3 linked regions of the Alligator mississippiensis genome follow. The protein of the gene in region 2 binds, or shares a complex with, the protein of the main gene of each other region. Links are inferred from orthologs where the notes say so. Each region holds a gene or a part of one and is shown on either strand. Other genes may lie near its edges. The genes, in order: KCNIP2, KCND3 and KCNIP1.

Evidence for each region.
Region 1: the proteins of KCND3 (region 2) and KCNIP2 are in contact, whole or in part, in a cryo-EM structure (PDB 7W6S), measured with the Homo sapiens proteins. The link is inferred for Alligator mississippiensis from reciprocal best matches to the Homo sapiens genes KCND3 and KCNIP2. Residues at the interface, in NP_001365898.1 of Homo sapiens: Val5, Ala7, Trp8, Leu9, Phe11, Ala12, Arg13, Ala14, Ala15, Ala16, Ile17, Gly18, Trp19, Met20, Pro21, Val22, Ala23, Asn24, Cys25, Pro26, Met27, Pro28, Leu29, Ala30, Pro31, Asp33, Trp54, Arg60; in NP_775283.1 of Homo sapiens: Arg112, Gly113, Phe114, Asn116, Glu117, Cys118, Val123, Phe128, Ile131, Tyr132, Gln134, Phe135, Phe136, Tyr144, Leu148, Phe152, Phe165, Leu169, Ile172, Leu173, Arg180, Trp183, Ala184, Leu187, Tyr188, Met201, Met205, Ile208, Met211, His228.
Region 3: the proteins of KCND3 (region 2) and KCNIP1 are in contact, whole or in part, in a crystal structure (PDB 2NZ0), measured with the Homo sapiens proteins. The link is inferred for Alligator mississippiensis from reciprocal best matches to the Homo sapiens genes KCND3 and KCNIP1. Residues at the interface, in NP_001365898.1 of Homo sapiens: Ala6, Ala7, Trp8, Leu9, Pro10, Phe11, Ala12, Arg13, Ala14, Ala15, Ala16, Ile17, Gly18, Trp19, Pro21, Val22, Pro26, Met27, Pro28, Leu29, Ala30, Pro31, Lys34, Lys36, Arg37, Asp39, Trp54; in NP_001030009.1 of Homo sapiens: Leu67, Arg69, Gly70, Phe71, Glu74, Val80, Phe85, Ile88, Tyr89, Phe92, Phe93, Tyr101, Leu105, Phe109, Phe122, Ala125, Leu126, Leu129, Leu130, Leu138, Trp140, Thr141, Leu144, Tyr145, Ile161, Val162, Ile165, Tyr166, Met168, Met169.

Annotation. Positions count from the first base shown.
Region 1 is NC_081829.1:100,312,329-100,322,964, forward strand, and holds the start of KCNIP2 (Kv channel-interacting protein 2), read right to left. Parts: upstream 4,824-10,636; 5' UTR 3,620-4,823; coding exon 3,172-3,619; intron 1,617-3,171; exon of another isoform or gene 346-1,616; coding exon of another isoform or gene 240-345; intron 1-239. UniProt on the Homo sapiens protein: Regulatory subunit of Kv4/D (Shal)-type voltage-gated rapidly inactivating A-type potassium channels. Modulates channel density, inactivation kinetics and rate of recovery from inactivation in a calcium-dependent and isoform-specific manner.
Region 2 is NC_081837.1:44,250,395-44,260,142, reverse strand, and holds the start of KCND3 (potassium voltage-gated channel subfamily D member 3), read left to right. Parts: upstream 1-5,250; 5' UTR 5,251-5,317; coding exon 5,318-6,426; intron 6,427-9,748. UniProt on the Homo sapiens protein: Pore-forming (alpha) subunit of voltage-gated A-type potassium channels that mediates transmembrane potassium transport in excitable membranes, in brain and heart. In cardiomyocytes, may generate the transient outward potassium current I(To).
Region 3 is NC_081832.1:48,528,425-48,538,523, forward strand, and holds the start of KCNIP1 (Kv channel-interacting protein 1), read right to left. Parts: upstream 4,074-10,099; 5' UTR 3,740-4,073; coding exon 3,631-3,739; intron 3,345-3,630; exon of another isoform or gene 3,161-3,344; intron 1-3,160. UniProt on the Homo sapiens protein: Regulatory subunit of Kv4/D (Shal)-type voltage-gated rapidly inactivating A-type potassium channels. Regulates channel density, inactivation kinetics and rate of recovery from inactivation in a calcium-dependent and isoform-specific manner.

The sequences.
Region 1 (10,636 bases), on a different chromosome or scaffold from region 2:
CACCCGCACCCCTTGCCCCAGCAATATACACGTCCCACACGTGCACACCCCCATGCCACACACACCTGTCCCACTTGCACACATCCTCTCCACGCCTGCACACCTGCAGCAGGGCCATGCCAGGCCGGTGGGGCAGGACGTCTCGGGCGGGATGCACACACACACACGCACGCACACTTGGAGCCCCGTGCCCCCTGGCTGTGCCAGCCCCAGAGCTGCGGGCGCCGGAGCCGCGGTACCTTCCAGCAGGACGACGGGCTCAAAGAGGCCAAACTGCTCGAGGACCTTGACGAAGAGCGCGAGGACGACCAGCACCGCCACCATCTCCAGCCCCTCCAGGTTCATGGTGGGTGCCACTCATGGCCCCGCTCCGGGGGGGGTCCCAGGCCAGCCCCGGCCCCCCCCCACGCCAGGGGTCGCGGTGCCGCCGGTGCCAGGGGCCGGAGCAGCCCGGGGCGTGCGAGCGCGGCGGCGCCCAGGCAGGACTGCGGGGGGGCTGCGGCGGGGCTGGGCTGGGGAACGGGGGGGGGACGGAGCCGGCCCTCCCCGACCAATGACACCACCTCCATCGATCTGCTCCACTGGTTGCCAAGGGAACGGGCCCAGGAGGCCGAGGAGCCGTGCGGGGGGGCGAGGGGCACGGGGGACCCCCCAGCAGCAGCCTGGAGGGAGCCCAGGGGTCCCCGAGCCCCGCTGGGGGTCACCTGGGCACCCAGCCCCCCGGGGACAGGCCTCCCCCTCCCACAGCAGGGAGCAGGGGCAAGGGCAGGGAGTGAGGGGCCTGCGGGGCGCCAGCGGGGCGCGGCTGCTCCCCCCATCCCCGCACCAGGCCCGGGGGGGCTTCCATGATCTAGTTCTGCCCAGGGGGAAATTGAGGCAAGGAAGGGGGCAGCCAGGAAGGACCCCAGGAGTCCAGGGCTTCGAGCCAAGCCCGGTGCTCTCCCCGCCAGGCCGTGGCACCCGAGACGGGCGAGGCCGACGGGCCCAGGGAGCGGCTGGGGGCAGCAGGGCCCTCACTCCCGCCCCGCAGCCCCCCTCAGCCCAGCCCCTCCAGCCACAGATCCTCGCTGCCACCCCTAGAGCACCCCCACGGGCCCACGTGGCACTGGGGGGGCGTCCAGGGGCTCGAGGGCCCCCACTCTCCCCAGCCCCTACACCCGGGTCTACCTTGCCCCAGCTGCCTCAGTTTCCCCACTGCCGCCCTGGCAGCTCCAGCATAGGAGGTGCAGAGGTTTTGCACCCAGAGCTGTCCCTGCGCCCTGCCCCAGGGGGGAAACTGAGGCACAGAAGGGGGAAGCCAGTCCCCGGGGGCCCTGGCGCGGCTGGGGAAGGAGCCCAGGAGCCCGGGGCCTCCAGCCAGGCCGGCAGCTGAGGCACAAGACGGCCCGGTGGGCTCAGGCGAGGCTCGGGGGGTGCGGGCTGGCGAGGGCAGAGCTCAGGAGACCAGAGGAGCCGGGCTGGCAGGTCCAGAGACCCCCCCAGCCAACCCCCGGGTGCGGGTCGGGAGTGAGGGGTGCCAGCAGGGCTGGGGGGCCGTAGGCCCACCCCTACCCTTACTCCAACTGGGGGGGTCGCACAGGGGCCCTGAACACAGTGCGATGGCACCCCTCCTGCCCGCCCCTCCCCACAGCACCCCCAGCCTGGCGCATCCACCCCAGCACGTGTTAACTCTGGAGACTAATGACGACCGCGGCGAGTTCTGCCTCGCCCCAAGGCCACCCCGACCTCTGCCACCCCCCACCTGGCGCCGGCACTGCCCCAGCTGCCCCCGTCGCCCTTCATCTGCCCCTTCCAAGCCCCGGCCCCCCAGCTCCCCCCGCCGCGCACACGCTATCGAGCTCGGATCTGGGTCGGGCCCAGGGAGGCCGGTACTGGAGGCCGCAGGCACGGGCAGAGGGGGCGGAGGGGCACGTTCCCATCCGCGACGGACATGTGGAGCAAGGGCAGGCCACCGAGAGGCCCCGGGCGAGTGCAGACCCCGTGCGTGTGCAAGGCCGCGCGTGTGCAAGGCCCTACCCTCGATGCCACTGATGATCTTGAAGCAGCGCGTGGTGAACCAGTAGGAGATGAGCAGCAGGATGACGATGAGCGCGGCGTAGAGCAGGCTGTCGTTGTGGGGCACCGGCCTGTCCATGGCCCCCGGCCCGGCCGCCGCCTGCCCCCCGCTCGGGCCGCGCGCGGGAGCCTGGGAGCGAGGCGGGCACCAGCTCCCCAACCAATTACCATCCTGCCAGCGTGTGCCGGCACCTATTAATAGCTGCCGGGGCCCGGGGGGCCGCCTGGCATGGGGGGCGGGGGAGCCGCGGGCCCCCAGCCAGGATGGGGCATCTGGGTCCCGGGGGCAGGTTGGAGCAGCCTCGAGGCTGCTCTAAACTGTGCAGGATGCCCAGCGGAGATGGGCGAGGCAGGGGTTGAGCACCACAGTGCCAGGAAGGGGAAGCTCGCAGCAGGTCCCATCCTGCTCCCCAGCTCTGGGAGGGGGGCAGGGAGCATGCGTCTGTGGCCCCCATACCGCCCCCATGCCAGGAAGCTCAGGGCTCCAGGCCGAGCGGCTCCGACCCCGCGCACGGAGCTGTACGCTGCACCGGGGGTGGGGGCTGGAAGGACGGGAGGCCACCCCCGCCTGCCGCAGCCCGGAGCGGGGCAGCGGTCCCAAGAAGGACCCGCCAGCCGGTCGGTAAAGCCAGCAGCACCGCGAGCCCCCCCGGCACGGGGCAGCCCTGGGGGGACCCTCCGGCAATCGGCACAAGAGCCTAGGATGCCCAGCGCCCCGGGTCGCGGGCGTGACCTTGGCACGGGGCTGACTGATCGGGTGCCCGCACTGGGCCCCATCCATTAGAGAGATAAATTTAGGCCAGCGCCGAGCCCCCCCGCGCAGAGCGGGTTATTAATCAGCGCGCGAAGAGCCGGCCAGGCGCTATTTTGGGGCGGTGAAGTCACCGCTGCGCTGGGTAATGGAAGGCGAGGCTCTTGCCCCGGGGCCGCATCCTGCTAACGCCCGCACTGGGCAGGGCCCGGACCCGCAGCCACCCGCGGGCGACCAAACCGGAGCCTGGGGGTGCCGAGAAAGCCCCAGCGCCCTGAGTCACGGGATGAGGAGACCCCCGTGCTTTCCCCACCTCCTCTGTGGCCCCCAGCCCTGCCCGCCGGGAGACCTGGGGTGGTGCCTACCTGGGGAGAGGGTCCCGGTGAGGAAGCGGTACAAGCCACGCACGGCCCGGCCCAGCTGCCTCTTGCAGCGTGGCCGGCAGGGGTCCAGGGCACCGGGGCAGGACCCCGTGGCCCCCCAGGAGCTCAGGGCACGGCCCAGGTGCCTGCTGGGCACCGGCATCTTCCTCCTCCTCCGGAGCCAAAGGTCCCCGGGCATCGGTGCGGGGCCAGGCCTGGCACTAGGAAGGCGTCTGTGCCCGCTGCAAGGGGCTGGAGGAGCCGGAGAGCACGCGCGAGGCCCTGGGCAGGCGGCTGCCAGGGGAGTGATGCCCGCCGAGACCCTGTGCCACCCCTCTCCGGTTGGCATGGCAACGCCTGGACCCACAGGTCCCACTGACCAATCAGGCGCTGCTGCCTCCCAGGCAGGAGGAACGATGCTGGGGCTGGGCTGGGTGGATGGGGGGCACATGCCCCATATGGGTGCCAAGGGGCAGGGGTACAGAGCACCCTCCCGCCCCCCAGATGGGGGTCCTTGCCCCCCACCACCCCTGACATGCTCTTCCCAGGCAGCATCACCTAAGGGGTGGGGGAGGCCCCCAGCGCCAGGGGCTGCAGCTCGGTAATCACGGCTGCTCGTTACAGGCAGTGCGGGGCAGGCACGGGGCGTCCTCCCGTCACCAGGGGCACGGACATGCCCAGCCCGAGGGCCCCGGGCTCGATGCCCCCGGTCTGGCCTGGCACGCTCCGGGCCACGGCTGGCACACGTGTGCTTGGTATGTGCACACACGGAGGCAGCAGCGCCTCCTTTCGTGCATGTTCAAGGTGCCCCGGGGCGACGCGCCAGGAGCTGCGCTGTCCTGGAGTCACAGAGGCGGGTGCCCACGTGCCCTGGGGAGGCCGGCGGCATTTCGGGGACCTCCTGGCTCCCCTCCGAGCCATGGAAGGGAACAGCTGGCGCTGGGCCACAGCGCCCAGAGGCCACCGCCACGGGCACGTTAGAACCAGGGCTGAGCCTTCCCCCCTTACTGCCACGGGGCGTTGAGTCTGAAGCCTAAGGATGACAAGCGCTGGGGGGCGGCTCTCCTGCCCCACAGAGGGGATTCCCAGGTGCCCAAGGCCCGTGTAGGGCAGCAGGCTGGCCGGCGCTGCCCCCCAGGCAGGGCGAAGCAGGCACAGCCCCACCTGCCGCCACGCTCCAGAGGAATCTGAGCCGCGGAGCCGGGTGTCACCGCGCCGGGCGCTGTACATGTGCAACAGGGCATGGTCCTGACGCCATGGGGACTCCCGACACGGCCTGCCATGTGTGCCAAGGGCACACTCAGGCATCAGCCCTTGTTATGGGCAGCGCACAGCATTGCCCTGTGGGCGGTGGGCAGGCAGACCCCAGGCTTTCCCCCTGCCCAGCATGCTAGCATGGGTGGGGAGGGGGCACAGCCCCCCTGCAGCACCGCTCCAGCCTGCCGGTGCCCCCTGGCCCCAGCACCCCGGTACGGCTCCCGGGCAGTGCCCCGCTCCGGCCGGGCACAGACTCACCCCGTGGCCCCCGGGGGCAGCCGCTGCCTCCTCTTCCGCGGGTCCCCTGGGCAGCAGCATCCTCTGCTCAGCCCATGCCGAGGCCAAGGATGGGGCTGGGGCAACCTGCACCGCCTGCCCCCGGGCACAGAGCATCCCCCCGCCCCGGCCCCAGCCCCGCACTGCCAGGTCCTCCATCTCCCAGCCCCTTCCCCAGCATCCCTCGCTGCAGCCCAGCCCCCCCCCCCCTCCACGGGCGACTACAGCCCCCACGATGCCTTGCACGGGGGTGGAGCTCCGGGACAGGAGAGCGGTGGAGCCGGCTGCTGCCTGCCTCAGTTTCCCCACCTGGTGAAGGGGAAGCAGGGGTGGGGGGGACGGGACACAACTCATTCTCCTGCCTCCTGCTTGCTCATGTGCCCCAGACCCCAGCAGGAGCCCCCCAACCCCAACCCCAACCCCTCAATCTCTGCCAGCCCAAAGCCCTGGCACGGAGCTGGGTCCCCATGGAGCAGAGCCATGGGCACCGCGGACCCCCCTGCCAATGTGCCACAAAGCCCAGATGCTCCCTGGCCAGGGCAAACTGGGCTGCAGGAACTAAAGGAGAATCACCACCAGCAGGCAGCTGTATAGGGCCTAGGACACAGGGGCAGCTCGGACCCAGGCGGCCTGGCCCCCGGCTCTGGCAGCCTCAGCCGGGGGTCTCGGGCCGGGCCCGTGCCCTGGTGCCATCCAGCCTGGCGCTGGCACCTGGTGCCCTTGGCCCGAGCGGCCACACGAGGGAGCCCCAGCCCCGCAAAAAGCAGTGCAGGGTGAGCCGGGGACACGCGGGCCCTTCGCACACGCGTGTGCACTGGTGTGCACAGACCCCTGTTGCTGCCCCTGCCACGTGCAGCCTCGCAGCGCCTGCACGGGACGGGGGAGCTGGGGGGAGATCTCAGCCCAGACCAGCGCCCGGGCCCCGCCGGCTGAGCACGGCGCACTCTCCACACCCACGCCAAGGGACCCGTCCTGCCCCAGATCCAGCCCCACACACAGGCCCCCCCCCAGACGGGGCCAGGCAGGGACCATGCGGCTGCCTCTGGGGAGGATCCAAGCTGCAGGCCGACGGACGGCCAACAGGAACAGGGGCAGAACTGGAGGGAACTCGCCGCAGGCTCCGGGGTGTGTTAACGAGGCCGGGGCACATGGGGTGACCTGTCCCCTCTCCACAAGGCGGGGGAAGCACTGATGGGGAAACTGAGGCACACACAGGGGAGGGGACTCTTGCAAGCCACACGAGGAAGTCCCGGCCCTGAGGCCACACCGGCTTCTGCTGCCCACCACGGGCCCGGCAGGGGCAGGGGGCTGCCGTGACCTGGTGGAAGCACAGGGCCGAGGTGAGATCCCCTGGCACATGTACCCGATGCGCCCTCCCGCAGGGCACGTCCGGCTCTCGGGGCAAACCCGCTCTCCCAGCTCCGCTCGCTCCTGCTAATGCCCTCGTTAAAAGTGCATGAGAGAGAGGGGTGCCCGGGGCCAGCGGCGCTACCCGTGCCAGGGAGACATGGGCAAAAGCTCCCGGCGCCTGGTGCGAAGGACGCTGTATCGCCCCACCGCCGGCCTGGCCCGGGCACCAGGTCACCCCCAGGGGAGGTTGATTTGCATGCACACGTCCACACAGCGCCAACAAACATCCCCCCGCTATTGCACCAGGCCTGCAACACACCAGGGGCACGTGTGCACACGCACCAGGTAGAAAACACAGCCCCCCCCCTGCCAGTAGCACACGTGCACACATGTACACCCTTCCCCCTGCACACGCCAAGCAGGGACAATCCAGCCCTTCCCTCCACAGCTCATGTGTGCATGCACACACGTGTGCACCTGAACACGCTGCGTCCATGCCCCCCGCATCCCCACTGCGGCCCCCTCCATGCACACGCACTCCTGGGCCAGCCCAGCCACTGCACGGGGACCCAGGAGACCCCCGTGGTGATTAACTCCCGCTAATGAAGCGCTAATGGCTCGCTTTCCGCAGCAATTTAATTAAGCAGCAACACAGCTCGGCTCCTGGCTCCTCCTGCCCAGGTGCGGGTGTGATTAAGGCTGCCCGGCCGCCCCAGCTGTGGGGGGCTCGGGAGGCCCCCACCAGCCTGGCACGGGGCTGAGCCCTCGTGCCCAAAGCCCAGGGTCGCCGCGGACCTCCAGCCAGGACACGTCTGCGTGTGCAGCCACAGCAACCCCCACCCCCACGGCAGACTCCAAAGGAGCTAAAGGAGAATCACTACCAGGTCAGCAATATAGGGCCTATGGCATGCAGGAGGGCAGCTCCAGTTCCAACCAACAGAGGGCAGCATGTGCAGGTTCACTTAGAAACCCACTTTACAGTTGGGGAAAACTGAGGCCCAGAATGGCCAGCCTTTCCCCTCCTCCTTAAATCCTCTCACTCAAAGCCCAGGCCGCTTAGGGTCTGATCCCCGGCTCTTGTAAGACCCGGCTACAAGAAATTCACCCCAACAGCCAGAGCCAGACCAGGGGTGCCAGCCCCACCTCTCCTGACCAGGGTGGGGCTGGCTGCAAGTGTCACAGGCCCTATACACCAGCAGCTCAGGGGATTCCCAGACACCCTGCTCCCCCCACCGCAGAACGTAGCCCCCCGAGGTGCCCAGACCCACGGCCCGGTTTCCCCCGGAGGAAGCGCACAGGACACAGTAGCTAGATGGGGCATGTCTGGGGGCTGCGAGCTGCCCAGGCCCCCGGGCATCCTGTCCCAGCGCAGTGGGGCCAAGGCGTGTGCCGGCACCGGGCAGGGAGCTGCTGCAGCCGCTCGCTCCATTGCTGTCCGCTCACCTCAGGCCCATCCATCAGCGCTGCCAGCCTCTGCCCTCGCCCATACTCCCATGCCCGCACACGTGTGTGTACATGGGCACTCACACCCGTATGCCCCCCCTTGCAGCGCAGTGTATACTCACACGTGTGCATACACACCTGTGCATACACGAGTGCCCATACATGTGCACACACACCTGGGGGCACATGCGAGAAGGGCAACTACTGTAGTGCCTCGCATACAACACGCTTGCACTACGCCCAGAGCTGCGATTTTGGCAGGAAAAGGCTTCTCCTGAGCTGCCAGTCACCAAGCAGCGGCCCGGCAGCCAGGCAGCGGGGTCTGGGAGCTGCTCTTACCGTATTTCCCTGACTAGAACGTGCAGCTGCCCCTTTCCCGGCCCACCAGAGCTCCTTGTTCAGCACCAGAAGACAGCACCTGCCAGCGCTGGGGTGGCTTTTGCCGGTCTCCCACGACCCGCCTGGCATCGGGGAGAGTTAAACCCACCCAGGGAGCTCAGGAGGCAGCATGCCCCCCCTTGCCCCTGCTCGCACTGGGGACCCCAGTGGAAAGGAGCCCAGCCTGCATCTCCCCAGGCAGCTGCCGACAGCTGGACGCCCAGGTTGGCTCAGCTCCAGCCCAGCCACTTCCCCTAATGAATCCGCCGCTAACGAGAGGAGCCAACTGGGGGGTTTGGGAGCCGCTCACCCAAGGGACGTCTCCTCCTGCCTCCTTCGCAACGCCCCTCTGCGGCCCCCTCCCCAAGCCCCCAAAGGGGGCATCCTGGAGGAGCCCTGGGCTGGACGGGGACCAGGGCCTGGGGCTGCGAGGGGCTGGAGGCTGCAGCCCGAGCACAGCCAGGCCTCCAGGCCGGGGTCTCTGGAGGCCAGGGGGGTCCTATCAGCCCCCCCCCCCAGCAAAGTCCTGGAGCCTGTGACATGTGCACGAGTGCAGCCACAGGAGGGACCAGCACAGGCCCCAGAGCCCCCGGGACAGAGCCGGACACCTGGAGACAGGAAGCATCAGCCTCAAACCTCCCGGGCACTGCCAGCCCCAGCCCCCCCACGCTGCCCTGAACCCCCTTTGTTTGGAGCAAGCCAGGACAGCAAAGCGGGCGCGGGGAGGGGGGAAACACGGTGCAGGGCATGGGAGGGGGGGGGCAGGGAGGCCACCCCCACCGGGGCAGGGAAGGACCCAGTCTGCCCTGGAGGAGCAGGGCCCGTGCCCAGCTGGGGTGGGGTTTTGCACCCCGCAAGGCTGGGGGGAGCTGGGCAGCCTGGGACGGGACCACGCGCCCTGAGCGGGGCATTAGCTTCCCACGGGGACCCAGGAGGATGCCGGGGGAGGGGGGGGTTAGGGGAGGGTTGCAGGGTCCCAAGGGTACAGGGGTGGAGACACCCACTTAGGGGAGCATGGTGGGGGGCTCACAACCTGGAGCCACCGGCCCCCCAGCGTGGTCTGCAGCCCCCCGTGCAGGGGGAGAGCCAGCCCCAGGGCAATTTGCAGGGGGGGCATTGGCTGCAGCTGATCCAGCCGGCGCCCCCACCCCCAGGAGGCAGCAGCAGGGCATGTGGGGCCCGATGCCACTTGCACATACAAGCATACACACCCTGCACCATGTGCACACACAGCCTGGGTGGGAACACGCACATGCACGCCTCCAGCATGCCACGATGCACACGCACCACTGAGCCCAGCACCCCACCACACACACACGGTGTCATATGCACACACAACTGCCTCCAGGGGAATGTGCACACGCACACCTCCAACACCGCATGATGCACAAGCACCACTGCGCCCAGTGCCCTGACACACATGCACACGCACACACAGGTGCACGTGGAGACCTGCTCCCCCAACACCAGCCGCATGAACACACACATGCCGTGTGAACACACTTCCAGCACCCCGTGATGAACAAACACCATGGCATGCAACACCCTGCCACACACACACACACGTGCGTGCGCGCCCCCCCCGCCAAGCACACGCACATACACCTGCACAATCACCGGTGGTACAAATGCACACGCATCACATCCACACACTTCTAGCTCCCCACAACGCACAAACACTGCATCATCCAAGCCTGCCCGCCTAGCACACACCCCCACCCACCGCCCCCCCATGAACACGCACCAGACACAACCACACGCCACACTGCCGCACACGCTGCCCGCCTACACCTGCTCCGTCACTGCCAGCAAGCAGCAGCGCTGCTTTGCAAGCACCTTTCGGCTCAGGGAACACCCCCTGGGACGCACCCCCCCAACCCCAGCCTCTCCCAGAGGGGGAAACTGAGGCATGGGGCTGCACTCTCCCAGGGCAAGGCGGTGGCCCACTGCAGCCCCCCGCCCCTGCTCAACAAAAGCAGCTGCCCTAGATTTGGGGCTCCTTCCAGTGCCCCCCCCCCCCCCCCCCCGCCTTGCACACGGCTGCAGCACGGGGAAATCCAGCTGTGTTAACCCCCGCAGTGCTGGAAAGGCACCGCACACGCATGTCGGTGCTGCCACCGTGAAGGCAGAGCCCTGAGCCTGGGGCCACAGCACACATGGGGCACACACAGGGCCGGCCTGCTCCACCCTGGCAGTGCCCAGTGCACATGCCAAGAACACACAGAAGGCACACACCACGGATTAACCCTGTCCCTGCCACGCATGGGGCGGGCTCGGCAACGAGAGGAGCTGTGGAGGCTGCAGCTGCTGGGAGGTCCCGGGTCCCCGGGGCAGGGGCAGGTCTTGCAGTGACCCCCCAGCCCCCACGGCATGGGGCAGCAGGGCCGGGGGCCGTGACGGGAGCTGCTCTGGTGCCCAGCAAGGCCCTGGCAGTCCCAGGAGGCTTCTACTTCTTGCTCACGTCAGCAAAGTATCCCCGATTAATTCCCCCCTGCGGCACGGCAGCCATAGCAGAGGGAATTGCCGCCTCGCACACTCGCTGGGCACACGCCTGTGGGGCCCTGGGCAGGCCCCACACGCACCAAGCATGTGCTCACACCCCCCCAGTGTATGCTTACACACACACCCACAGAGCACAGGCTTGCATGTACACAGAAGTGCACACACGTAGACACAGAGCCCATGCTCACACACACCCAGGACACACACGCACCCCCCCAGAGAGCACATGCTCACATGTAGGACACACACATGCACAGAACAC
Region 2 (9,748 bases):
TCAGGGGCTGGAGCAGGGTCAGGGTCAGGATCCGGGGCTAGGACTGGGGTAGGGGCAGGGGCTGGGGAAGGTGAATATGAGGGTCTGGGGCAGGGGAGGGGCAGGTAGCGGGTGCAGTGGTCGGCGGCGGAAGAGGCGGCTGCGGCGGCCGGCGGCGGGGAGGGATCGCAGGGCGCGGTGGCGGAGCGGAGGGAGCGGCGGAGCGGCGCTTGGCGGCCAGTGACATCTGGCGGCAAGTGCGGTGTGGGCGGCGGCGGGAGCCCCGCCCGGCTCCAGGCGGCCCGGGCCGGGCGGAGCTGTCCAGGGCGGCGGGTGCTGAAGGGTGCGCTGCACGCCGGGGCCGCGGCGCCCTCTGGCTGCAGCCGAGCCGGCTCCGGGCTCCGGGCTCCGGGCTCCGGGCGCGGGTCCGCGCGCTGCTCCCGCCGCCGCGCGAGGTAAGCAGCGCCCGGCTCTGCTCTGCTCTGCCCGCGGCCGGGGCCGGGGCCGGGGCCGGGGCCGGGGCTGCCCGGGGCCGGCGGGGCAAGCAGGCAGCGCTGAAGTCCCGCGGCAGACTCCGTGCCGCACCCCTCCCCCCGCCACATTAGCATGCAGGGTAAGGGCTGGGGTGTATTTAATGCCTGCGCTGGCGGGTGTCTCCGTGGCAGTGCACGCCGCCTCGCTGCAGCCCGCCGGCCGGCACTGGGCGCGGGGCGCGGGGCGCGGGGCCGAGGGAGCGAGCGCGCAGGCAGCCCCCGCGGGCGCCCAGCCTGCCCCGGCAGCCGGAGCGGGGCTGGAGGGCGGGGAAGCGCCGTCACGGACCAGCCTGCCAGGGAGAGACTCAGCCAGGCTCAGCAAGAAGAAGGAGCCGCTCTTGAGTCATCGACTTTGCCCGCGCTGGCTGCATTGCTCCTTGCTCCTGCCTGAGCTGAGGCGGGGAGTGGAGGGACAGGCAGGCAGGGCAGCCCAGCCTTTCCCACCCGCCCCCCAGCCCCGAGCCCCGAGCCCGTCCCTGCCCGCCGGCGCGAGCAGCTCTTTCCTGGCCAGGTAAGGCACGGCGGGGCCCCGGCGAGCGGGGCTCTCCTGCTGGTCTGGGCACCGAGGGAGGGGAGAAGTTTGCATGCGTTTCTACGAAGCCTGTTGCTGCGGCTGCCCGTGCTCCTGGTCCAGAGCTCGCACTGACTCATCAGCTGGCAACATTTGGGCAGCTTTTAGGATGTGCTGGGGCGGCGAGAGGACGGGAGTCTGGGCTGGGATGCAGGTGCTGAGGCTCGGACTGGCAGGTTTCGCTTTTCGATGCAAAGGGTTTTTGTCTGACCCACATCAAGATGAAAAGGGGAAAGACACACAGCTCCCCTCTCCGCCCAGCTACCAGCTCTCATTAGCGAGTCGCATGATGTTTACCAGCCTTTTTTATTATTCTTATTATTATGATTATTATTGCTAAGTTATCCTTGTCTGCTTCCAGAATGGAAAGCACCGTGTGATTCAGGGTGTTTCTAACTAGAGGACGTTACAAGAGGCATCTAGGCAGACTGACATCTCTGGCAGAAGTTAATGTGATGCAAATCCATCATGTATATCCTGAGCCTCTGAGTGAATGCACATAAATATATGTTCGCAGAAGTTTCTCTCCAGTGCATTATTGATCCTGCCGTGCATGTTGGTTTTGTGCGTTGAAATAGGAATCAAATCATTGCCAAGCAAAGCAAGTGCAGGTCAAGGACCTGAGATGGATAGACAAAGAAATGGATGGAGAATTCCTTAAGGAATTGGGAAAATTGAAAAAAAAGGCTTTGCTTTCAGTTTTGTTGACAGCGGTGTGGTGGCATGGTCCTTACCTCCGGAAAACACGGTCTGTTTGCTTCCTTGCTGTTGACATTTGGTTAAGTCAAAAAGCCAAATCCTTTTATCTTGTACACAAGCTCTTCTAAATACCATCAGCAGGCTGCTGATCCTTTGCTAACTAGTTTCTGCCAAATTATGCATGGGAATTAGCCAAGTAACATTTGAAATAAGGATGTGTCTGAATGTGTGTGTGTGTGTGTGTGTGTGTGTGTGTGTGTGTGTGTGTGCCCTTTCACTATAACACACAGCGCAGGTTGTGCTAAATATTTCTACCCTGCCAGCTGCTTGACACAGTAAGAAAGGAATTATTAATGTTACCCTCTGATCCCCGACTCAGTTTGCAGCAAGACGAGGTGGCTAATCAATGAAATAGTTGCATGTCCTATCACCCTAGACTTGAAGGGCACAATTCACAGGCATAGATGCAACCTCTTTTTCTCCCGCCCCCTCATTTCTCATGGACTGAAGACCTGTGAAAAGAAGCCGTCCCTAATGATAACGATATTCAGTTTTCCTTCCTCCTGTTACTACCCGGTCCTCACATACTGATACGCTCCAAAAATCCGAGCACCGAACAACTCTCACGTGTTAATCTTTCAAAATGGCTCTAACACTGAGTATTGGAGAAACAAATGGGACTAGATTACAACAGATTTAATGAAACTTTAAAAATTAAGCCTCTAGCACATACAGAAGGAACTTTTCTGAACTTCAGCCACATCTCTTCAGGCCACAGAGACTTGTAACTGAATAATACACTTTTATGGACAGCCTATGTAACCATCTCTCTCTCTTTTCATTTATTTATTTATTTATTTATTTTGTGGCCATTTTAGAGCTTACATGTTTAATTTTTTTTTCCCACATATGCTGTCAGTCTGGAAAGACCTTTTTATCTTAAAAATGGTCTTAAAATTGGCAAGACATTTATGAGTTACCAGTCTCTTATTTGAAACAGGTTTATAAGGAGCATTTGTAGTGTGCCTGACAGCAGTGAAGTGAGCTAGAATTTGGAGTCAGGGCTCTATGAAGTTCGAGTTGGACTTGGAATAAGATTCCTGGGACAGGTTTTGAGAGAAATAGAGGATCCCAATCGCTGTTACCGAGCAGAACCAGCGATGTACCACCCATTTCCAACCAATCCCCAGAGGATAGCACCAGTGTCCATAAAGCAAAACAGGGGACTGAGTGGCTTTGTGCATCAGTGACTGAATGCATAGCCTAGATGCCTTGGTCCTAAATCTACATTCAGGTTGGGTGGGTAACAAATGAAGTTAATGGCATTTTTTGCATTGGTGATGGCCACCCTTTCACTTCTCCACTGCCCAGTGAAAGGTGGCACTTTTGTTGGCTGGTTCTGTCTAGTCCCTATAGGGTCTCTCTTCAGCTAAGGATCGAAGCATATTTTTCCAAGTGGCATGGAGAAGTTTAAGCTGCTGTCATTTGCTGTTCTAGAGCTGTCAGTCTGGCATCTTTCAAGAGCCATCTTTAAACTAAGGGAACCATATAATGCATAGTGATCTCGAATAAACCTGCATGGTAAAATACCATGGGGTCAGGATTCTGCAGCTAGGGAAAATCAGAGAGATGCATCACAATGGGCTGTTGCATATATCATCATTACGAAACCTCTTATTGCAATGGTTGGAGGGTTGCATCAGGACAATTGACAAAACTTCACAGCGAGATGCTTCATACTATCAATATGATGAGTGATAATGCATAATACCCAGGGAGAGCACCATTTTGAGAACAGTTCACTAAAAGGTTTCACCACAGATTCATTCTGCTATCTTTCATTCAGTGTCTTGTGGCCTATTAAGATCAATAGTGCTATAGCACCAGCGATTGGAACGGTGCTGTTCATACAATTAAGATACGTCACGGTGAAATTATGTAGAGAGATGTTAGGTAGTTCAAGCAGTGAGGTTTCCAGCCTTATCCAGTGAAGCCAAAGGCAATCCTTCTATTGACTTAATGGACTTTGGATAGTCCACAGAATATCTTACTCAAATAATTGGACAGTAATTAAAATACAAAGGGAGTGAATGAAAACTAAGGTTAATAAGGTGAAAGGTCTGACTGAAGACCCAATGGAACAAGGAAATGCGGGTCTGCTGTAAATCAGAGTCACCGCATTGATTTTAGCAGAGCTAACCCAGTTTAAACCAGCTGAGGAGCCTCGGAGCTGTGGACATTTTTCTTTCTTTAGATGGGCCTCTAAGTATGGCAATGATAACAGGCTTGTTCCTTCACTTATTCAAGGACTTTTGCCTTTGTTAGTGAGGAAGCAATCAAGATAATCCTCGCAGGCTGGTAGCCGACCCTGTTAAAGTTTGATGTTTTACCTGTTTTGGTCTGGCATGGTTTAGATTTTGAGTGGGCGCGTCTACGTGTTCATTAACGCACATTAAGTTTAGTACTTGGTTAACCAGGTACTAACTAAATGCACAATAATTCACGCTACCGTGCAGTAGCGCTGGCTCATGGTTTTTCTGTGACACTTACTGCGCAGTAGCTTAATAACACTGCACAGTAGCATATTTTATTCTATATTGGCACGGTTTTTCACCGGCATGCTACTGCGCAGTGTTATTAGGCTACAGCACAGCAAGCGTCTCGTGTAGCCTGACACTACGCAGCGTGCCCATCTTACACACATGCACACGCTCACCATGCAGACTACCGAAGCTCAGGACTTCTGGGCAAAGCTGTCATGCCCTGAAGAGACCGATTTTTCCTCTTGCCCACTGGAATGGTGCAATATTTCACTGTAGTAAAACTTGTCTCAAGGAACTACCCAGGGGACCAGCAAAAAAAGCTGTTGCCTAGCAGAGGTTTTTAACTAAAGGTTGAGCAAAACTGTACTGCAAACCCTGGAAGATTTCAGAGTCAGTCTTTGATGCGAGCTACCAATGGGCAGTCTGTAGTGCTAGCTTCGCCGCATTCAGAGCTTGCTTTTTATGAGAAGTCCAACTGGGTCCATTTTAGGTCTTCGGCCACAAGCGTTTCCCCTGGTAAACTGCCAGTGGATTTCACCAGAGTTTCCAGCTCTTTCTTGACAGCTGTAGTCAGAACGATAAATGCATAAAGCTTACACCTGTGGAATTATGGATTCGTCTTGTTTGTAAGGAAGCAAATATAAATTAGCGTGTTTATGCTACTTTTAAATACTTTTAATGAGGAATCATTTGCCATTCAAAACTTCCATCTATGATAATGCTATAACCTTCCCTTGTTGATTATCATGCATATCTTTTAATAGTCATTCTTCTAAGCGGGGGCTAGCACAAATTAGCTCCTCTGTTGCTGTGGATTCCCTCAAAGATATTTATCCAGATAGTTTTAGCAGTCCCTGGGCAAGACAGCCCCAGCTGACCTCCTGCTATATTTTTATTTTATTTCATTTGTAGATGGAAATGATTTGACTTCAAACGGGGCCTAAAAGCAGCAGAACTGTCTTCTCCGATAACAAGGAAGGCCTCGAGCCATCATGGCAGCAGGCGTGGCAGCATGGCTGCCTTTTGCCAGGGCGGCCGCCATAGGATGGATGCCAGTGGCCAACTGCCCCATGCCACTGGCCCCCACGGATAAAAACAAGAGGCAGGACGAGCTGATCATCCTGAACGTGAGCGGGCGGCGCTTCCAGACCTGGAGGACTACCCTGGAGAGATACCCGGACACTCTTCTGGGCAGCACCGAGAAGGAGTTCTTCTTCAACGAAGACACTAAGGAATATTTTTTTGACCGGGACCCTGAAGTCTTTAGGTGCATCTTAAATTTTTACAGAACTGGCAAGCTGCACTACCCGCGATATGAGTGCATCTCTGCCTATGACGAGGAGCTCGCCTTCTACGGGATCCTACCTGAAATCATTGGGGACTGCTGCTACGAAGAGTACAAAGATAGGAAGCGGGAAAATGCCGAGCGGCTGATGGATGACAACGACTCGGAGAACAACCAAGAAGGGTCCATGCCATCCCTCAACTTCCGGGAGACCATGTGGCGAGCCTTCGAAAACCCCCATACCAGCACCTTAGCCTTAGTCTTTTACTATGTCACCGGCTTCTTTATTGCCGTCTCTGTGATCACTAATGTGGTAGAAACCGTCCCCTGTGGCACGGTGCCGGGGAACAAGGAGCTTCCATGTGGGGAGAGGTACGCTGTGGCTTTCTTCTGCTTGGACACAGCTTGCGTTATGATATTCACCGTCGAGTATCTTTTGAGACTCTTCGCGGCCCCGAGTCGCTACAGGTTCATGAGGAGCGTGATGAGCATCATTGACGTGGTGGCCATCATGCCCTACTATATTGGCTTGGTGATGACCGATAATGAGGATGTCAGCGGAGCCTTTGTGACGCTACGGGTTTTCAGGGTTTTCAGGATTTTCAAGTTCTCCCGCCATTCGCAAGGCTTACGAATCTTGGGCTACACTCTGAAGAGCTGTGCCTCTGAACTTGGCTTTCTCCTCTTTTCCCTCACTATGGCAATCATCATCTTTGCTACAGTGATGTTTTATGCAGAGAAAGGATCCTCAGCTAGCAAATTCACCAGCATCCCAGCTTCCTTTTGGTACACTATTGTAACCATGACAACTCTTGGGTAAGTGTTGCATTTTCTTTTATTAGGCCGTAGACAAACACGTGCTAGTTGCGGAAGTTTGGTTACTTTTTGAGGGTAAGTCTTTGTTTTTCTCTTAATAGTATGTGTTGCTAGGGGCTTTAGGACTGTTACAGGCCTGTTTCTCCTCTGCCTGGCACTTCTGCGGGCATTTACACCTATGCAAAGTGGTCACAAAACATCAAGTTTTGCAAAACAGTTTGCAAACGCTTGACACAACTGTGAGCGAGTGCAGGAGAAGCAAGGCCGTAGAGATGCAGGCCCTGCCATAATGGCCTGGTAGCATTGCACCTGCTTTGCATTCAGTGTTCAGACATGGAAATGGTGGCACACGGCACAAAGCAGTGGAAGGGCAGGACTTCTGGTTCTTTTCAGACGTATTTAACCAACCTATTACTCAGATACAAAATCACTGAAGTCATTGCTTAGTTTTGTATCTTCAGCCTTTACTGTAAATGATTTGACAGCTTGGCGTGCGGGTACCGGAGGCTTGCTGAATTCAAGCAGATATTGCGGCCAGTTGCCTTAGTGCAGGTATTTCCTGAATTACAGGACAGGCTTTGCTTGTTGTTATCTGAACGGGAAATAGCCCTTTTTGCTGTGTTTACCTGGGAGTTACAGAAGTTGCAGTAGTAATGGCAGTAATCTGTAGCCATTACAGTAATGTGCGAAAAGCTCATATGGACAGGTGCAAATAAACGGCATAATCACAAGCAGGGGAAACACAGCCTGGAGGACTCTCTCTCCCCCCCGATATTTCATTTCTCTCCCGTTGACATTACAGCTGTTTCTGCAAAGATTATAGATGTGTGTTTCTGTCACGCAGGACTGAAACCTTCCTGAAAGAAAACAGACTAGCCAAACACTCGCTGTGACAGGCTTGTACCAAGTAGAGTAATCTTCAGAGGTTGTAGCTGCAGGCGCTTAAAGTTGCACAGTCTAATGCAATCTCTTCATTCCATAATTCATAATCATGTGCTAAATTTTAATTTACTTTGCAAAGAGCTTTCCTGCTGAGGAGCTCAATGAGTTTTATATTTGATCTCAGATGAGTCTCTCCTTTTCCTGTTTCCTGTTTTAAATACTTCCCTTTACCTATTAGGCATAAAAAGGCAGACAAAAGAACTTTTAAAATATTCAAATTGTAACTCAGCTGTCAAGAAGTGGCAGAGTGTGGGCCTGTGACAGCTGTACGTTTTGGATTTCTTTGGCAAATAAGAGCATAAAGCATATCTGCCATGAGAACCGAAGGAGATGATAATTTCCCTAGCCTTGAATATGCCCGCAGTCTGGCCAAAACCTGCAAACTTGGATGACTAAAGTTAGGCTCCTCCACCCCGATCGGAGTATTTCGGTAGCAGTGGCCTGCTCTACTTGCAGCTCCTGAGTTTAAAATGTCGACTTTCTGCAACTTCCAGACTCGGACTCCACGATCTCATCGCCACCGTGTCCGAGCAGCTCCCAGTAGTGCATTAAGCAATGTGACTAATATCTGTCACATTTGTTCTCTCCTGCTCTCCCCAAGGGGAGGAATGAGCAGTGGAGTGTTTCTTCTTGGGTTTGTTTAAGGCTCTGAACACACGCGCAGGTTGCTGCACGGTTGAGTTAGAGAAGGGAAGGCCCAGGAAAACACTAGGTAGGCATTAGGCAACCAAAGAAATCTAGTCTAGGCTGAAGTTTACTTACTAGCCCACTTAGCTGAATGAAACGGCCTCTTGCTTGTAGTACCTTTTCTTTCTGCATGTTTTGATAGAGAAAAAAAACAGACCGGTCCTGAGTACTTTAAAGCGTTCTCAATCTATGGCAATCATAGGCATTATACTTGAATGAGTGCTTTAAACAGGTTGACAAGAATAAAATAATTACAGGCATTGAAACAGGACCTTGTAAGATATAGCTGGAACAAAATCTATTTAAGCAATGGTAGCCATCTGCAAAATATGACTGATGCGATGAAGCATGAACATTCACCTTCATTGTTTTGGGGAGAAGGGAGATGATAATTAAAATACTTTGCCTTAGCACATAGCATGTTTGCTGCACTGCCGTGATGGGGCTGTTTTTATAGAGTTGTGTCGTTTGAGACATGCAAAGCGTCGTTTGGTAAGAGAGCAAAGACAGAATCCTGGGCTTGCTTACTCACCCTCCCTCTCTCTCCTCATCTCATTTATAACATGCCTGATTGCCTGTCACTTTGGTCTAAGAACCGAGACCTGTTGCTCTGCAATTGTTTGCTCCAATCACATGCTAGAAAAGCCATTACTGCAAGGTACAAGAAAGAGCAACTTTCATCAAAGACAGGTTCCTCCGCCCCCTCCTCCCAGATGGGCGTGTGCCAGACACAACCATTGCAACCCATAAGTGAATGCACTTACACAAGAGTTAAGGCTTTGCAGACTCCCTGCTGGATCGGCCTCAGAAAAAACACCTTGGCGTGTCCAGCTGAGCATGCACGTGTGGTATGTGACCCGTCTGTGGTGCTGCCCACTGCACACGCCGCACATGCAGTGCTCCCTGTGCCGTGGGGTTTGGACACCAGCAGATCCTGGTGTCAAAAAAACTTATGCCTATAAAAAGTGGGGTGGTACACATGGTGGCAGTGCATGCCGCCCAAAACTAGAGCCTGGCTCCAGCTGCCAGCCAGGCTCCTTGCTGCCGAATCGTCGTGGCTGCAGCCCCCAGACACCCCCAGGATCCCAGGTAAGGCTGCTGGGGCCATCCCAGGTGTTGACCCCAGCCTCCCCTACCCCACCCAAGGCAACATGCCCCACACCGGAGCATGCATGTATGAGCTTTCCCCAGGGACAAGTAGCAGCAGCAGCAGCACATATTGTGCCACTATTGCTTGTCCGCGGGGAAATGCATGTACCTGCTCATGGGGACGTGCTCCTTGATGGCTGAAGAGCTGCTGTTTAGGGCATAGTTCAAGTCCCAGCTGTGGTGATCAGTGTATATATAACAAAGGGCAGCGATGGGACAGGGTGCCATGAACAAGTTCCCACTGCTCTGTGGCCGGGGGGGGCCCAAACAACAGTCGCTACTCCCACGTGGATGCAATTATACAAACATTCGGGAAAAATACGTAGAAACAAATCATTTGGATTCAATTCATTTCTACCTTTCCCATTGAAATACTGACTGAGATTACATGATGCAGGTGGTTAATGGAGCCAAAGTCAGTTAACAGGAAAGGGACAAGGTTTAAAATAAAGGGGAAGAGGCCGTCTCAGCATCCCATTTCCTGCTAAAAGCAAGAGCCTGAATTTAGGCACCTGTATCCATTCAAAGCCCAGGTGTGCAAACC
Region 3 (10,099 bases), on a different chromosome or scaffold from region 2:
CACCATCATGTAAATGAAGCCCCTGCTCATTTTAAAATGGCTGCGGGGCACTTTATCTAAAGGTCTATCTAGAGCTCATAGAATAAGTGCCCCTGCAGCCATTTTAAAATGCGCAGGGGCTTAATACAGGTGATGGTAAGGTGACAATGGAGTATTCTAATTAAAATGTAAATGAGCACATCTATAGGCACCCAGTATTTACAGCTTACTGTAATATACAGAAAAGTGACAGCTGCTACTTTTAATAATGAGGGCTTGAAAGGGGAAACCTATTCACCTAACAAGAAATCTCTGTTCATAATCTACAATTTTGTCTTGTGAAAAAATTGATCACAGCTACCAAAGACAGCCAACCACGATGCTAAAAAATTAAATCTCTGACTCACCATATTCAGATAGTACATTTAAAAAGTACCGACTTTTCAGTATTTGACATCCTGGCAGTGAGATTATGCTGATAGCTCCCCAAAAGCACATATCATATTTGATTTGGATCCCTTTAATTTAGAAAAAATAAAATTTATCAGCACTTCAAGGATAGCCAAATGATTGATGCATGCTTCAGCAAAAGAAGCAGAGCTAGAGCCAATCTCATAAACAGACCCATCACAGCCCTTGATTTATGGGGAAGGTCCTTGATCCTTCCTTCTACAGGCATAGATTCCCATAAAATTTCACAAAATGTTTTCTTGAACGCCTTTTAATGTGAATCATTAATTATGACTGTATCCCTATACCTCACTTAGAAGCAAATCATTGACTTTTATTCATTCTTTCTGGATTTGATTGTGGGCAGCCCTTGATGAGCAGCAACGTAAGAAGGTAGGGAACCAATGGAGCAACACTGGGCTGTCAAAGTGCACAAGGGGCATAGTAACCAAAGAGTTCAGGGATAACACAAAACAAATTGCAATTCATCTCACTATTATCCCACAAACTGCTTTACTTTTGCAGAAAAAGTTGCTATAGCAAATAATTTCATTGCCTTTTCACTAAGCAAAATGGATCTGTTTATAATTAAAACAAAATGAATACCTTTTTCAAGGAAGTGTGATTTTTTAGGGACTACTCACTGTAGGAGAATTTAGGGAGATCAGGACCTGTAGATCTCCCATCCTTCCTATTCAGGTTGGAACACAAGAACTCCAAAGCCAACCTCTGTATTCCCTTTGTTTAAGGTTTCATTAATGAAGTTTCATACAAGTGTAGGAATTGCTCAGACTTTACACTAAAAGCATATAATGAGCTAAGCCTTTTTAGCTCCCTGCATCTGCACCAAAATTACATTCACTTCAGTCAATCCTAGCATGGATGCATCTGCATGAGATCATTACATGGTCCAAAGCAGCACAAATAAGCAGGTTGTAAATAAGCATGTTTTACCTGCAGGAGATAGTATAATGCTAATTCTAAAAGTAACTAAGAGCACAACCAATTTCAGATAATAGGGAACTACCCTAATTTGCTTAAACAGTGCAGTTTCTGATTGTAGCATTATACACAAGCAAGCAGCACATGGAAGTGCTTACATCCTGTAAAACAAGAACAGTGAACATAAAGACAAGTTAGAAATATTTTTGCTGCAATGTACATTCATACGCCTCTGCCATTGTTGCCACCAGCAGGTCAAAGAACAGGTGTAACCCTACCCTTAAAGATCTCTATGAGCTAGAAGTCTGCAACTTTAGTCACCCTACACATACATTATAGCAGGAATAAGGAGCCAAGAGTCATGCAATTCCATAATGGTCTAATGCATTTTTTGGCCTGGATGTTTTTTGTAGGAAAAAAAAAAACAGTTGCAATTGATCAAAGTTGCAAAGAGTTTAGTTTAGTTCATAATGCCCTTATATACTGTGAGGTGGCCTATTAGACTGTCAAGGTGTTATAACATTAAAATGATCACTGCAAAGTGAGACTACACTGCTATATTCAGCACCCAAATGAGTTGAATGACCCTTGTTGCATGTTGGTTAAAAATCTGAATCTAGGTTTTGTTTAGTGAGAGCAATTTACCAACAACTGTTTGATCATTAAAGTATCAATATTCAGTAGGAAAAAACATTGGTACTTATTTAAAAATCACTTTACTTTTGAATAAATAACTTTTGCATCTCTCCATCATTTGCCTTGGCTGGAGAAACATTGTGCAAGCTGTTCTGGGTAATCTGTAAGGAAGTTGGAATAACATTAAGTAGCTCTGTAGAGCATGGGTAAAAATGTCTTTAAAGTTAAAGAAGTAGTGTTGCAGCTGCCTCAGCATTTGATTGTACATTTTTTTGCATTGTGTTTTATTAGGTAAGTTTATCCATGCTGATATAATTTTAAATGAACAATTATTGGTTGGTAAGTTTATTCAATATAGCTGTCATTAGAATTTGGTTATATAATGATAAACTAAATGTATCCATTCTAATAGGAAAAATGAACATTAATGTAAGTTACTCCATATAAAAGATTAAATATTTGACCCTAATATTATTTGTTTCTATAAGCCACATTTTTATATTGTACTGTTAATGAACATTATCTACTTACATGGTTGCATTATAGGGCTGTAGGTTTGCACATATGAGGTTAAAACTGTTTTTCCTTGTTCCCAACACAATTCAATAAAAGATGAAACTTGGAGTTAAGTAAAATACTAATGAATGTATTACCTTCATTTTCATTAAGTATTCTTTCTGCCAGTTTTATGTAACATATTTCAAAGGTAACCTCTGTGTCAAGAAACTGCTGTCTTTAAACTGATTTTATTTTATACTGCTCCTATGTTACCAAAACTTGGTACCTTTATGATCTACACAGGAATGAACTTCTAGGCATCTTAAAATGACTACTTGTTTCTTAGTTTTTTCTTTAAAAAAAATGATGTGCTTGATATAGAAGTTGATTTTCTTAGTGAGCTTCACATGTGGACAAGTGTCACTGTTTGGGCAGAAAATACTGATAACCTAAGTTAACTTAATTAAAATGTGTTCACTCCCATTACATACAAGAAAAGAAATGAAAAAAAAAACTAAGGAAACAGAGATCTTTATTGAATTTAAAAGATGATGAGAGATCAAATGCCCCAGAATAATTCTTCAAATCAGAAATATGTGTTCATTTGTTATGTTTACTTTGGTTTCTCTGAAGTATGTAGAATAAAAATACTTACAGAAAAGTTTCCTTTGTGTTAGACACAGTCAAAAGATTTATTTTCTTCAGGTCTTTAAACTGCAAGTGTCACAATAGTATTGTTTTTAGGGAATCATATGGAACCACTGATCTAATTATTAGCAGTGCTTCTATTATCCCAAGACAGACTTTTTGTTCCCAGGTAGGGACCGATTTATTTCATGCTGTGAAACAAAATTAATAATTAGCTAAAAGAAAAATAGCACTTATGGCAAAAATCCTAACTTACAATTCCCCTCAGCTGTGATAAGTCCAAAAGCTAACAAAAGCCTTTAAAACAAACCACAGAGCATAACTCTAGCACCGCTCACTATATCACTTAAAATATGAAGATGATGATGAGAAATCAGAGTATGGAAAAGATGACGCTTTACTTCCTTCAGCCTATCTGCTACTATATTGACTTAAATAAAGGTAAATAGAAGATAGAAAGCTTGGAGGTTCTCTTACCATCTGACAAATCAATTAGCCCAAGGTAGTGCAAAAGTTTCAGAGAGGAGCACACCACCACCACAATCCCCAAAGTCTGAAGCCCCTCCGACTCTCCTTCATTCCACATCCTTTAAGGCACCACACAGATACCACTGGCGTGCTAGGAAAACAACTGGCAGACATCTAAAGCTGGGAATTCATCTGTTTCAAGCTTTCCTTCCTGCTGCTCAGCTAAGTATTGCTCATTTTCTCTTTCTCTCTCTCTCCCTCCCTCCCTTTCCCTGTGAATGTGTGCATTTCTCACCCTCTCCCCCTATTTCTATTTCTCCTTTCTCCCTCCCTCTCTCTGTTCCTTCATGCAAACAATTTCTGCATTTAACAGTAATCTATGGTTTTAGTTTCTGCCTCTCCAGGGCAGTTCTCCCAAGAGTTTACTCTGAACCTGAACAATTTAACACTGCGGAGGTAACCTCAGTGATATCTCATGTAATTATTTTTTCTGTGTAACCAACAGTGAATTTCTCCATTTGTGTCTGTCTGTCTGCCTTGCATCACTGTCAACACAGATGCGTTTTGCAAATGCTTTCTCTGCACCACACACAAAGTAAAAAGAAAGTTTCATGGGGAGGACATGTAAAGAAAACTTATCTGTCTCTCCCACTTCCCCTCATTCTTAATGTTGCCTTAAGGCATTGTAAGTATCACACGGACAGTTTGGGTTATATTTAATAATTTTAAATATATTTAATGCTTGTTTAATACCGGTCTCATCATAAATTACCATAGAAATATGCCCCTTCAGAATAACTACCAATTAAACCAAAATAACATGTCAATGTGTTGCTAGAATCAATATATGCTGGGGTGGATCTGGGAGTGGGGGAGAGGTGAAGGCAAGGTGTTATGGTGGTACCAGTGAACACCCCTTTGATTCCTGGTCTAGCCAAACTTTAAAACCAACTGTCTGGCAGTGGCAGCAGCATTTCTATTTAGGCAGCAGTGAGGGAGGGAATCAATTGAATTTATGGTTTATTATAATCTACCTGATTCCTTGTTAACTCTTCATTCCTCAGTTAACAACCCTCTCCACTTTTTAAAGGTGTTATATTCCACTAATTTAGCTACGCGTTCTTTTGTAGTTCTGCTGTCTGTTAGCTGCACTTAGGCACAAAGCTCATATTTCACAGCCTTGCAGACCCCTTTTACCTCTAGCTAAAACCATTAGCTCAAGTGTGCAACTTACTTCCAGTGAAGCATTGGATACACTGCCGAGATGCTCAAGAAGATTTTATTTCACGAATATGAGAAGACATATACATTTCATTCTATTGACTGCAGGACTAATAAAACAACATCTTGCCTAGTGTGTTTTTTTAAAATATGTAATTAATACATGTTCTAATAAAGTTATATTTGTTTTTGCTTTGATCTTAAACTGAATAATATAGCCTAGGCCCTGCAATATTAGTAAAGATTTTTGTTTCTTTTTAACATGACAAAAATGTGCTGTGTTAAATGTGATGGCACAGCACACCATCTGGACCCCACTTATAAAAATCCTAGATCCATCCATGTGTATATGGACCAAAGTACCAGATGGGTACACAATGTACTTACCCTATGTGCAAAATACAACAAGATATCAGGGACCCAACCTCTGGCTTCAAGAGGGCAATTGTCTTTATCTTGTTTACAGGCCTAATATCACAGGATAACAACTCATTATTGCAATGTTTCTCTGAGTATTTTTTTCCCCCAAAAGCTAGTATCACTCCCCTTTTATTCAGTGGGAGAGTAGATGAGTAAATTGTGCCTGGGGCATTGCCACTGTCCCTGGTTGAACCAGGGACTGGGGGCTCCAGAGCCACCCCTGCCCTGCTCCAGCTAGACTGGCTGTGGAGCCAGGGTCACCTATTAACACCAGTGGCAGCAGTTGGGTTCCCTTCCCTTGCACCAGATCCCAGGCCAGCAGGGAACACCAAGAGACTGGGCAGGGGCAGGTCTGGAGCTCCCCTCCTGCCTCTGGGACAGCCAGAGACAGCAGCAGCAGGTAGGGGGAGGGGTGGGAGGGAGAGGAGAGAATGTGCAGCTGAACATGGAGGGGAAGGGAGGATTCTTGCTTGCTGTGGAGGGTTAAAAAGAGTCTACATCTGCTGTTTCTGCAGCATGGTCAACTGGGAGGGGTACGTATTTGTGTCACTGTGCCCCACTTGGACCTGGCCCTGGATATACAGGGGGGCTTGACCCCTGCCCCTTGCCATCTGTCAACCCCCGCCACAAACCTCTTGCCCCATGGCTGTTCCTCCCCACCACTTCTGCCCCATGAACAACCTCTAGTCTCCCTTCTCTCTCTCTCCCCGCCCCCCTGCAGCCTCTGGCCCCCGCCCCTCCTCTTCACTTACACTTGCTCCAGCTCTGGCAGGCTCCACCCCTAAGCATGTGTTTACTCCTGTCCCATCCCAGCCCCATAACAACAGGAGCAGTGACAGCTCTGGGGCCTGGTCAAAACTGCTACCACCACCGCTATGGGGTGGTGCTGGGGCCAAAACAAATGTGTGCTCCATTCCCCAGGCTGGAATGTGAATGGAGCCCGCCAGACCCAGAGCAAGGGTAAGCAGAAGGGGTTGGGGCCCGAGTCTGTGTGGGACTAGTGGGTCCAAGGCTGTAGGGGAGTCAGGGAGGGGGGTAGCAAAGATAGTGGGAGGGCAGCTAGTAGCTGTGGCTCTGACCTTGACCCTGGGTTGGGGCTGGTGCCGGAGCTGTAGCAGCCATCTACCACCCTACTTCCTCATGCCCAATTCCAAGATGAGGGACTCGTCACCCCATGTTAAAGGGGGAAAAAAATCTCACCTTGGATTTGAGTAAAAACGGTATTTCAATTAAACATCCAAGTGGAAACAGAACAAAAACTGGTTTATCTTTAATCACTATACGTATTGACGCAAAGAAAACTTTTAACTTTCTCCCCCCACCTTCTTAAATTGCAAAGAAGAAGAAAAAGAGGTGGCTTTTTTTCTTTTTCTCTACTGGAAACACAGGCAGGCAGTTCAAGAATTAGTGTGTATTGGGAGATCTAGGTCCTACTTTCAGCTCTGATAATGACTTTATTCTTGATCATGTAACTATCTGCATTAGTTTTCCATTAGTATCAAGGGGATAAAAATAGTCACTACTAGCACCTTACTGAGTTGGGAGCCTGTTGGTCTAATAAAAGATATCAAATTCACCCAAGGAACCTTGTCTGCCTATGTCCTTAGACCAACACGGCTACAACCTAAACCCCTGTTAATATGTTTAAAGCACTTCAAGTTTCTAAGAAAGAAGCCATATTGGAAATGTGAAGTACTGTTAAGAATTGAAGCTACCCAAGCTATTAGTTATGAACAAAATATTGACTGAACTTGATCTTGTTTCTCTATATAGATGGGTCATGAAACTACTGTGATTTCTGCAAATTAATGATCTATAACTGTTCAATCTCTCTCTCTCCCTTTGTCTTTCTCCAGTGAATACAGAATGAGGCCCAATCTGATTTAAGAATATATTTAAACTAAAGGGTTTAATTCACTATTGGTAGCATCAGTCCCATTAGGCGTTCAATATCTGGTTTGTGTTATTGGTTATTATATCCCATGTTATGAAGCTATTTCTTGAATAGATGACCTTGGCTTTTTCTACTGATTCTACTGAATCAAAACATTTATCTTGTCCTGTACAGTTTTGTACAAAAATAATATTTTATTTGGCTATGATTGTGGAGCACATTTTAAAATAGCAGGTTACTTTCTATTTGAGGAAGAGAGGAAGATGTTGGGTAGATTTATTACCTGTCTAGTGGCCTTTGCACTCCCTTTTCTCTTGTCACTTTCCCACCAGGTAATTGAGTGTTGTTTGGGTACAACAGTCAAGAATGTGAATGTGTTTACTTGCTCACAGACACACTAGATTACACACAACTATACTTACTCACATAAGTGACCTGCATTAGCACAAGGAAAGATGCATCTCACTCATATTCACAGAACTAATCTTCCAACTTTAACAGAAAAGTGAAGAAAAGATTATGAAGTGCTAGTTTGAACTGTACTAGGTTTAGCTAACATGATCTTGAATTAATATGTCCTGTGCCGTGGTCATGAGAGCTCATATGCATTGGTGGAACTGAAACATACATGATCTATAAAACCAATTTAAAAAAATAATCATTTTAATATGGTACATTTATAGTAAAAAGGTATTGAACAAAACTGACCAAGACTTTTTCCACAGAAAAGATAACTATTCCTGTCCATTAATAAATACATGAAAATTCTAGTCTCTTCATGGACAAAGGACCAAAAAAGGTAAACATTTTTGTTTACATTATTCCTTACGATTTATTCACCCTGCTTATATGGTATGCATAGTCAGCATACAGTTCTTTGGAATAGTTTATTCTCCATCTCTTCCTTAGTTAGTAACCCTGTGGCATGTGAACCCAATTAAAATTGGCCTAATTTACATCTGGATTAAGAATATGGATAATTGGGATTATTAGACATTTTACCCGGGAAAAACAGGAAAATGTAGGTTCTCCTGATGGTACCACCTATTATAATTGTGTTATGAATCTCACACTACGTAATGGATGACTTAAAGTCCCAGTTCCTAAAGATTTGTGACTGCAATTCACATTCTAATTAACCCTCCCACCTAACCCAAAAAATCACACCCATGATTACAGAGAAAAGTTTGAAATTGTGATCCTAGTATAATGTAAGAACTCAAAATATAATACACTTCAATAAAAATTATTCAAAATATATTGTTTCTCATGATTTCTAAATCTATTTTATGGGTTTTAGGGCCTTGATTCACAGTTTATGCATTTTTGGGGTTTGCCAATCTTAGATTCCCTCAGAAAGTTTTCTCCAGGTAACACTGCTTGGGGGAGGTGGGGGGGGGGCGGAAGGAACATAATTTTCCCCACTTTTCCCATAACCCCAGAGGTCTGGATCATCTGGAGTCATGGGTGGATCCATAATTTTGGAACTGGAGGTGCCGGATCAGCAACATGTGCTGTGGGGGTAGCTGCACTGGCTCCCCCTGCCCTCCCACTCCTTCTCACCCCCCAGATATGAGGGCAGGCAGATTGTACCATAGGAGCAGCAACAAAGAATTAAGTCCTTGAAGCAGATAAGAATCTTTCCTCCCTAATCCCTTCCCTTCCACACTCTATTGCATGTTCCTTCCCCTCCTCTCCCATTCAGTCCCTCACCTGCCTGCTACTGCTGCTGCTGTCCACAGATGACCTGTAGACAAGTGTGGGGGGGCTCCAGAGCTGCTTCTGTCCTGTGACAGCAGGCTGCACATAAAGCCAGGCCTGGCTAGTGACTGCCTTGGCAGTAGCAGTGGCAGTCTCAGGTTCCTTTCCTCAGAGTCTGCTCCCGAGCTGTCCAGGAACATTGATTGAACTAGGCAGGGAGGAGTGACCCACCAGCAAGGTTCCCTCTAAGGTGTGCACATGTGTGGCCGCTCACAACTAAAAGTGTGGCCATACACAGCCTTTTCAAGGCTGTGCACCAGGAGAGGCTGGGGCAGGGGGCTGGCGTGGGCTCCCTGGCTCCAGGGAAGTGCTCCGCTCCCCCGCATCAGGGCCAGGCAGTGGAGCACTTCCCTGGAGCCGTTGGAGCCCGCGCCAGCACCCCACCCCAGCCTCCATCCCTGCCTTGCCTCACCTTGGGGAGGACCTGGGGCCGGGGCCGGGGAGCAGAGCAGTGTCCCGGAGCTGGCGAAGCCTCATTCGGGGCAGGCAGCAGCTCCTGCCCGAGGTGAGGCAACACAAGGATGGAGGCTGCTGTGGGCAGCTGGCACGAGCTCCACCGACTCCGGGGAAATGCTCCACTGCCCAGCCCTGATGCAGAGGAGTGGAGCACTTCCCTGGAGCTGGGGAGCCCATGTCAGGCTCTGGCTCCAGCCCCTGGCCCCTGGCCTCAGTCCCTGGCCCCTGGATCCCAGGTCCAGCCCCTGGCCTCTGGCTCCCGGCCTCTGGCCCCAGGCCCTGGCCCCTGGCCCCTGGCCCCTGGCCCCCGGCCTCAGCCTCCAGCCACCCCCTCCCCCCCCAGCTCCAGCCCCTGACCCCAGGCTCCAGCCCCTGGCCCCAGCCTCCAGCCACCACCCCCCGGACCCTGGTCCCAGCCCGTGGCTCCTGGCTTCTGGCTCCAGCCTCCGGCCCCTGGCCCCAGCCTCCGGCCCCCAGCATCTGGCCCCAGCCCCCAGCTCCAGCCCCTGGCCCCAGCCCCCGGCCTCTGGCCCCCAGCCTTCAGCCCCCTTCGGTGAGTGTCCCACACTGGACCAAGGCGGTGCGCTCACGGACTGTGGTGGCGTGCTCATGGACCACTGCTCCTTAGAGGAAACATTGCCCTCCAGTGCTGCTGCTGTCCCTTGCAGAGCCTGGCTGGAACAGACATGAGTGGCTCTGAAACTCCTCCCATAGGAGTTGAAGATG